Linked DNA regions of Notamacropus eugenii. The protein of the gene in region 2 interacts with the protein of the main gene of each other region in a biochemical or structural test. Links are inferred from orthologs where the notes say so. Each region holds a gene or a part of one and is shown on either strand. Other genes may lie near its edges.

Region 1 (3,922 bases), on a different chromosome or scaffold from region 2:
TCCTCTTATGTTTTTCAATCAGCTGTAATAAATATGAACTTTTAATATTTCATAAAATGTTTTCTGGTTAAATTCAAACTGAGAAATCAGAAGAAATTCAGAAGAAATACAATGTCAAGTAACCTCAAACTCATTCAAATCACTATCACTTTAAAGTTCCTATTGAATCAATCACTAAACATTCGTTTACTGTGTACTATGTACAAGTGACTCTAGTAGGTAGTGTAGAAGAACCAAGTTTTAACCTTCTCCCTTTCTCCTTCCTTCTTCCTGGAGCTTCTGATTGGATTCTATTGGTAAACAGGCAATACACATACAAATGTAACCAAGAGTGAAAAATACAATGTCATTAAGTGCCAAATGAGTATGACTTGTAAAAATGATAAATGGTAAAAGTTCAGGGTAAGGGAAGATTTATAATGATCTAGGGTGTTCAGGAAATGCCCCACAAAGAAGATATATTTTAAATTTGGACTTGAAAGCTTGATTGCATTTTATGAGCACATCTTTAAAAAGGGAATCACTGGGGTTTTAATAAAAAATGTGACCACAACCATTACATTTGAAGTCATACTTTGTCAACTCTAAAACATAAATTCCTGAATTATTGTAAAGAATTTTTCTGATCATGGGCAAATGATGGCTAAATGCAAAACGGTATAATTAATCTCTCAGATAAGGCATTGTATCTCTCTGGGCCTGTTTTCTCTTACGTTAAATTATACTGGATTTCACTTAATGGAAAGGATTCTAAGGTCATCTCTAAGACCCTGTGAGGCTGTAAGCCATTCTAGTAAATGCCTCATGGTTAGAAAAGATTAACTGACAGAAAAATAGAGACTGAACGTCTTATTACATTGGATTAGGGAACTCCCAGATGAGGGAACTCTGTCTATGAATGCAGGAAGGTATCTTCACTCTAAATAATAGCCTTAGAGAGTTGTTTAAAAACTAAGAGGTTAAGTGACTTTTACAGAATTGCATAGTCAGTACGTGTCAGACACAGGAGAAAATTCAGAGGCCAGATCTCTATCCATTTTGACACTTTGCCTCTCTAAGATAAGAAGATGTTTAAAAATTAAGGACTCCATGAAGAATTACTTTAAAAAGACTAGCAGTACATTCAGCTTTCATTGGAGAAACCATTAAAAATGTCTTAGGAGAAGCATTAAGATTAAAACAGTACACCTGTTTGGATATAAAGTATCACAAAATGGCGCATGGAGAGATGAGTATGTTTAGCCAACTCTCTGTCTCAGATAGGCACATTCTAATAATAGAGAGATGAAAGCATCTGAATGAAAGAATGAAAAACAAAACATTTATTAAGGGTTTTCTATGTGCCAAGCACTGTGTCTAGCATTGAGTATATATATAAATACAAAAGTAGAAACAGTCCCTAATTTGATTGTGGTTCCAGAATTGGAAAAGGGATAGGAAAGGGTGTGGTTTTATTAGGTGAGTCATGAGCAATGCTTCTGACAAAGTGGCCTTTATTTTATTTGAAGATTAAATAAACTGCTCCCTTTATCTCAAGCCCAGGTGAATTATTCCACCAATGAAATCTGTTATTTAGAAACATTAAAATACTGACTAGGTTATTGCAATCACCAAGAAGAGCTAATAGTAAAATAGTAAAAGAGGTTTTTTCCTTCCCTTCCACCATTCCCCCAGATGATTCCAGGGCCCTTGAAGACTGACTCTTAAATGTCTTCTTCATTACAACCTGCAACAAGTGAAGCAATCCTCGTAAAGGGCTCCCTTGTTTTAGCAACATAGCTGGTCAGGTTTTGTTTGCAGCTAGAAAATATGATCAGAGATCCAGGAAGGAAAATGAATTCACCTAATTTTCTCCAGTTTGTGCTATGGGTATATGCCCCAGTTGGGAAGTTTCTGAAACACTGCTTCCCCTCAACTTACTAGTTTCCCCTGAGTCCGGAACACCTCTTCTGCTTCTTCTGCTTTGTCTAAGGCTGATTTGGGGACTGCTTTCTCCTGTGATAGGGGGTACCCCAAGCTCCTGTTAATGGAAAAGACCCAGGTTATTTAAAAAAACAAAACTAAGCAGAAGTAAAAGAAATAGGAAGCATGAGAGCCCTGTAACCAGGGCTAGGCAGCTTCTTGGTAACTCACTTGTAGTCCTGTGATGGTAGCAGCTTCTGACTGGAGAATAGTAGGGTGTGTTCCTGCTTTCTCCTTCTGCAGGCCCTGAAGTTGCTCAGCCCTGCTCTGATAAGCCTGAAGTTCATGCCGGAGACTCCCCAACTCAGCCTGCAGGGTGAACACTTGGTACAATGAGACCAGTGCCAGGCCACCGGAGAGAAGCGTCAGTAGCAGAGTGGCTGACAGGAGCCCTCTTCTAGCTTGCCATGCAGAGCTTCTTCCCTGAGGAAGGGTGGGTGTACAATCCAGGAGTTTCATTTCTTCTCTTTTCTTAAGGCCAGAAGTGAAGAAGTAAATCTTAACTGCTCCTCTTTCTCTGTCGTCATCCATTTCTCTATTTGAACTTTGAGAGTTAGAGAAGGCAGAATAAGTGACCACATGGAATGGATCATTTCCTGTTAGCCTTGTTTGCTGATGTCCAGCACCGAGGGGATCTTAGAGCCTGTCTTGCCTCATCAGGAGGCCTCTCCTGAATTTTCTTCCTTCCTCTGCTATGCATCTCTCTAGTTACCATAGAATAGGTTTTTACTGGCGTTCCCTCTTTTATTTTATTGCACAATCAGCCTTCCTCTTTTCACTTTCAGTTTTTGTTATATGTTTTTATTGGCATCTCTCAAACTTCCAGGAGCAAATGGGCTCCCATAGCCCTTCTTTCTTAGATACAGCTTTGACCTTTGACTAAGAGGTCTATCAGGGGAAATGTTTTAGGTTCCAAAATAACAGATTAGTGTGTTTAAGTAGCCATATATGAAACCTTTATTAGACTATCTCTGGTTGGGCTCTGTCTACTTTAAGATAGATGAGGCTAAACTGGGACGAGTCCAAGGCAGGGCAATAAAACTAATGAATGATTAGGTGGGGTCAGCTAAATAAAGTACAGGGTCATTTTCTTGGGGGAATGATTCAAAAATAATCTGAAGCACTAAAACAGATGAAGGGTCATCATGTGAGAAATGATCATCAGCAGTTTTGATTCCATCTAACAGCATAAGTAGAAATGTTGAAAGATAGATTTGGGTTAGTTGTGGGGGGGGGCAGGGAGAGGGAGGGATCCAATATCCAGTATCCAATAATGAACATTTCCTGTAGGCTTCTGCATAAATTACTAATGGAGACATACTGAAGCTCTTTAGGAACAAGACACAATCACCTACTTGGAACAGATTCTTCATTGCTTTCCACATACACTATGTTCAGTGCCACCTCTACCCCTTCTCTTGTGCTGTTCTGCATCCTTTCCATTCTGGGGATTCCCTTTTCTCCTGGATGCCTATTCAAATCCTATCCATCTTTCCAAGTTGAACTCCAGGAAAACTTTCCAAATCACAGGATAAAAGAATCACAGACTAGGAATCAATGCCAAAAAAAACCCAGCAGCAGCAATAACAAAAACATCTTCAAACAACAAATATTTATTAAGCACCTGCTATATGTTGAGGCCTGGGCTACATGCTGTAGATACAGACACAAAGAATGAAATAGTTGGTATACACAAGGGGCCTACATTCTAATGGAAGAGACAAGTATATATAAAAATGCATATGACACAAATATGAAGAAAATTAAGAAGTTGTTTGTTGGTCATCAGGATAACTAATGTAAAGACCCCAAGAAAGGAAATGAAGTTTCCTGTATGAATAATATAGAGAATGCCAATTTGTCTGTTGTCTGGATCAGAGTGTAGGAGGAGAAATACCCTATGAATCTGGAAAGATAGATTGGGACCAGGTTCTATAGTGCTTTAAAAACTAACTTGATT
Region 2 (3,922 bases):
CAAATCTAGGCCTCCTTGCTCCCAGTCTAGTGTCTTATCCACTGTGCCATACTGCCTCCCACAAACACTGGTTACAATACTCCAGATGTGGCTTGGTCAAAGGTACGGAACACCTATCATCTCCTTCTCTCTAGACACCATGTTTCTGTTCAGACCCCCTAAGAAGGAAATGACACCTTTGGCCACCATCTTGTACCACTGACTCATATTGGGCATACAGATACAGCCCACTGTAAGCCCAGATCTTTTTTATATGGAAATTTGTATTTAAGCAGTTTGTGGGTTTAAACCCAATTCAGGTGTGTGGTTGACTGGAGGTTAGCACCTAACCAAATCCTACCTTCATATTCAGCCTATAGACATCTCCACCTCTTCATTCCTTTGGTTATAATTCTTCTTTGCAACATGACTAATGTGAAAATATGTTTAATATGAATGTATATGTAGAGCCTATATCAGATTGCACATCATGTTGGGGAAGGTGAAGGGGAGGAAGGGGGAGAAAATGTAAAACTCAAAAGCCTGTGGAACTGAATGTTGTCAACTAAAAATAAATTAATTAATTTTAAAAAATTCCCACCTCTCTGAACTTAAAGCATTCAGTATCTGGACCATTCATTAAAAACATTGTCTATCTATCTATCTATTTATCTGTCTGTCTATCTATCTATCTATCTGTCTGTCTGTCATCTATCTACACACACACACACACACACACAGACACACACACACACACACACACACACATTTGCCAAATACAGGGTTGTAACCAGAGCAGGGCAACCAAGGCCTTTTTCCAGGGAGCCGACATCTTGTGGAGTGGGTACTCACTCCCACTAGTGGTTCTTGGGACCACCAACCTAGGCCTCAAGGTCTTAGCATCCATCTTGTACCATTACCATACCCCTCTACCAACTTCTCCTAGGCTCTGAGGACTGTTGGCTATGCTCCTGGGGCATGGGCCATAATTTCTGGGAGATAAGCTATCTCCTCTTGTGCTATAACTGTACCTGAGATGCACCATCCTCTGTGGCAGTCTCACCAGCTGAATGTGCCCTTGGTGCAAGACTGATAAGTCTGGCTGCATGAAAAAAAAATGGCAAAGCTCTGTTGTGCTAAAAATAACCAACACCTAAAAGCAGAGGCAGAAAACTACAAGGTTGGGAACACTTGAGTCCAGCCTAGAGTCTCAATTATCTAGCTTATCTACCTCCCCATATATATCTGTATATGTTTATGTATGTATGTCTATCTAAATAAAAATGTGTATATGAATATATATATATATATATATATATATATAGTTCTGTGTATGTATATTATGAAGCCACTACAAGTTATTCAGAGCTGACGTATGATTCAAGTCCAAGTCGGGACAGGATCATTTTATGCTGTGCCATCATATATCTTCACAACCATTCACCTCCCTCAGTGATAATACTTGAGTACATTCTGTGTACCTGTTAGTCTTTCAAGTTGTGAGCTATAGGAATTCTAAAAGGAAAAAAGGAAACATTCCCTGGCCTCATAGGTATAAACTGAGAGACACAGCCTAGACTGAAATGAGCTTCGGGCTGAGTATGGTGAGACCCATGGACTTAACCGAGACTCTGATGTGAATTTGCTGTAGGATGTAAAGCATGTCCCTTCCTTTCGCTGGGCCCCAGTTTCCTCCTTTGTGAAATGAAGGCTGTCTAACTAGATGACCTCAAAGGCTCCTTCCAGCTCTATTGTTTTCTAGAATTCTAACCCAAGTGAGCCAGGGGAGTCGATGTGGTGCTGTCAAAACATTCTGAGAATTTGGGTTCCAATTCCACCATTGATGCTTGCTACCTACTCGGAGGAGTTCCTTAACCCTTCATGGCCTCAGGTGTCTCATCTGTAAAACAGACAGATGGCAAGACAAGATGCCATCGATTCAAATCTATGTCTGACTTTTGACATGCAGGCACCATGCCGATGAGTAATACTGCCTAAACTTTCTGCAGATTAAAGAAAAGATTGACATTTCCCATTTCCCTGGAATTTCTCTTTCTTCTTCTTTCCTGCTCTAATGGTTTATGACTCCTTGGGTTCCTATCTTTTCCAAAGATTCAGAAAGAAGGAAGATGGGGCTCCCTCGATGGCAGTGCTGAGACTTAGCCTTCAAGGCTGAAACTAAGAAAGGCCTCATTCCCCTCTCCTTCTTTCATGAGACAGGAGGGGAAGGAATGAATTTGGTTACCCTGAGCTCCCCAGGCTACACTAATAGACTATAATCCTTTGTGTTTACAGAGCATGTCTAGCTTTGGAAAGCAATTTTCCCAATCATTCTCTAGTCCAGTATAATGCAAAAACTTGGATTTCGAGACCTTGGGTCTCATCTCAGCCTCACTACCCCATGTGACCTTGGGCTAGCTCTTTCACCTCTGTCAGTCTCAATTTCTTCATCTGTAAAATGAGAGAATTAGATCAGATGGCCCTTCTTCCAGCTCTCGATCTCTGATCCTATAGCCTTCTTTATGGGTGCTAAGTTATAATTAGAATCCTCTAGGCTGGCGTCTGCCTTGAGCCATGTACGGCAGCTGAGCTCTGTGGGAACTTCACTCTTCCCCACTGAACCTCTGGGCTGTCTTCCATACCTAAAATACTCTCTGAGCCTCTCCCAGCTCCCCAGACTATCTCATTTTCATCAAATCAACTCTGCTTCCCTCACTGCCCGCTCCCATTCTCACTCCCATGTAGCCACTTCCCCATTCCCCGATTTCCCACAAAGAGTCTAGTAAAATACTCACATCTCTTCTTCTGCAAAAGACTCTCACCTTGCTCTACTTCTGCTCCCTCACAAGGAACTACAGTCCCAGGCCTTACCCATTACTCAGTAGGTTTATTATTAGCATTAGATTTGATTAGTGTCTATGCTGTATGCTTCCTGGGTTTTTCCCCCAAACTTTTAATATGTAAATCAGCCCCAGGCCTGCCCATGCATACATATGTATGCACACGTAAACTCTAGGGCACACTGGAGCTGGGAACTTAGCCCTGTCCAGCAAATCTGATCGAAGTCCAACATATATTTATGGGAAGTGTACTATACTAGCACATTATTTCAGGAGCTAGGTGGTGCAGTGGATGGAGCACTGTACCAGGAGTCAGAAAGACTTATCTTCTTCCTGAGTTCAGATCCTGTCTCCTACACTTCCTAGCTGTGTGACCATGGGCAAGTCACTTAACCCAGTTTGCCTCAGTATCCTCATCTGTCAAATGAGCTAGACAAGGAAATGAGAAAACCACTCCAGTATCTTTGCCAAGAAAACCCCAAAATGGTGTCACAAAGAGTCGGAACAGGACCTGGCTCCCTTCTGGTGACTTTGTCCTGCTGGCTACCCTTTTCAGTACTGGTCCACTTTCACTCATGGTCATCATAGGGAAGTCAGACTATTTCTTACTTTGCTTTACCATTTACAAACTGTTCCCCATCACCATACAAGCAGCCTTTCCTCCTCTCATGTCTTCTACTTGTCGTTTCTATCTTCACAACATCCCTCCTGTTTCTCCCCTTCTCTACATTCACACAGCCACCCCTGGTGCAGGACCTTTGCCCTTATACTTCCTGACTCCAGTCTTTCCCTGCTCTAATCCATCTTCCATTTAGCTATCAAAATGATCTTCCTCAGATACAAATCTGACCTCCTCATCCATCTAACCTCCTGTGATTCCCTATTACTTCCAGGATCAAATATAAAATCCACTGTTTGCCATTTAAAGCCCTGCACCACCTGTCTCCTTTCTGCCTTTATAGTCTTTTGACACCTTCCTCCCCTCCCACTGGCACTGGTCAATTTGCTGAGTCTCACTCATAATGCTCCATCTCCCATTTATTCACATGCCTTTGCACTGGCTGTCCCCCATGCCTGGAATGCTTGGTCCTCTCACCTCCACC

Evidence for each region.
Region 1: the proteins of TNFRSF13B (region 2) and TNFSF13B form a complex in vitro, tested with the Homo sapiens proteins (3 studies listed by BioGRID and IntAct, with this or other methods). The link is inferred for Notamacropus eugenii from reciprocal best matches to the Homo sapiens genes TNFRSF13B and TNFSF13B.

Annotation. Positions count from the first base shown.
Region 1 is NC_092877.1:215,030,993-215,034,914, forward strand, and holds the start of TNFSF13B (tumor necrosis factor ligand superfamily member 13B), read right to left. Parts: upstream 2,593-3,922; 5' UTR 2,494-2,592; coding exon 2,134-2,493; intron 2,021-2,133; coding exon 1,921-2,020; intron 1-1,920. UniProt on the Homo sapiens protein: Cytokine that binds to TNFRSF13B/TACI and TNFRSF17/BCMA. TNFSF13/APRIL binds to the same 2 receptors. Together, they form a 2 ligands -2 receptors pathway involved in the stimulation of B- and T-cell function and the regulation of humoral immunity.
Region 2 is NC_092874.1:378,465,166-378,469,087, reverse strand, and holds the start of TNFRSF13B (tumor necrosis factor receptor superfamily member 13B), read right to left. Parts: upstream 2,864-3,922; 5' UTR 2,775-2,863; intron 1-2,774. UniProt on the Homo sapiens protein: Receptor for TNFSF13/APRIL and TNFSF13B/TALL1/BAFF/BLYS that binds both ligands with similar high affinity. Mediates calcineurin-dependent activation of NF-AT, as well as activation of NF-kappa-B and AP-1.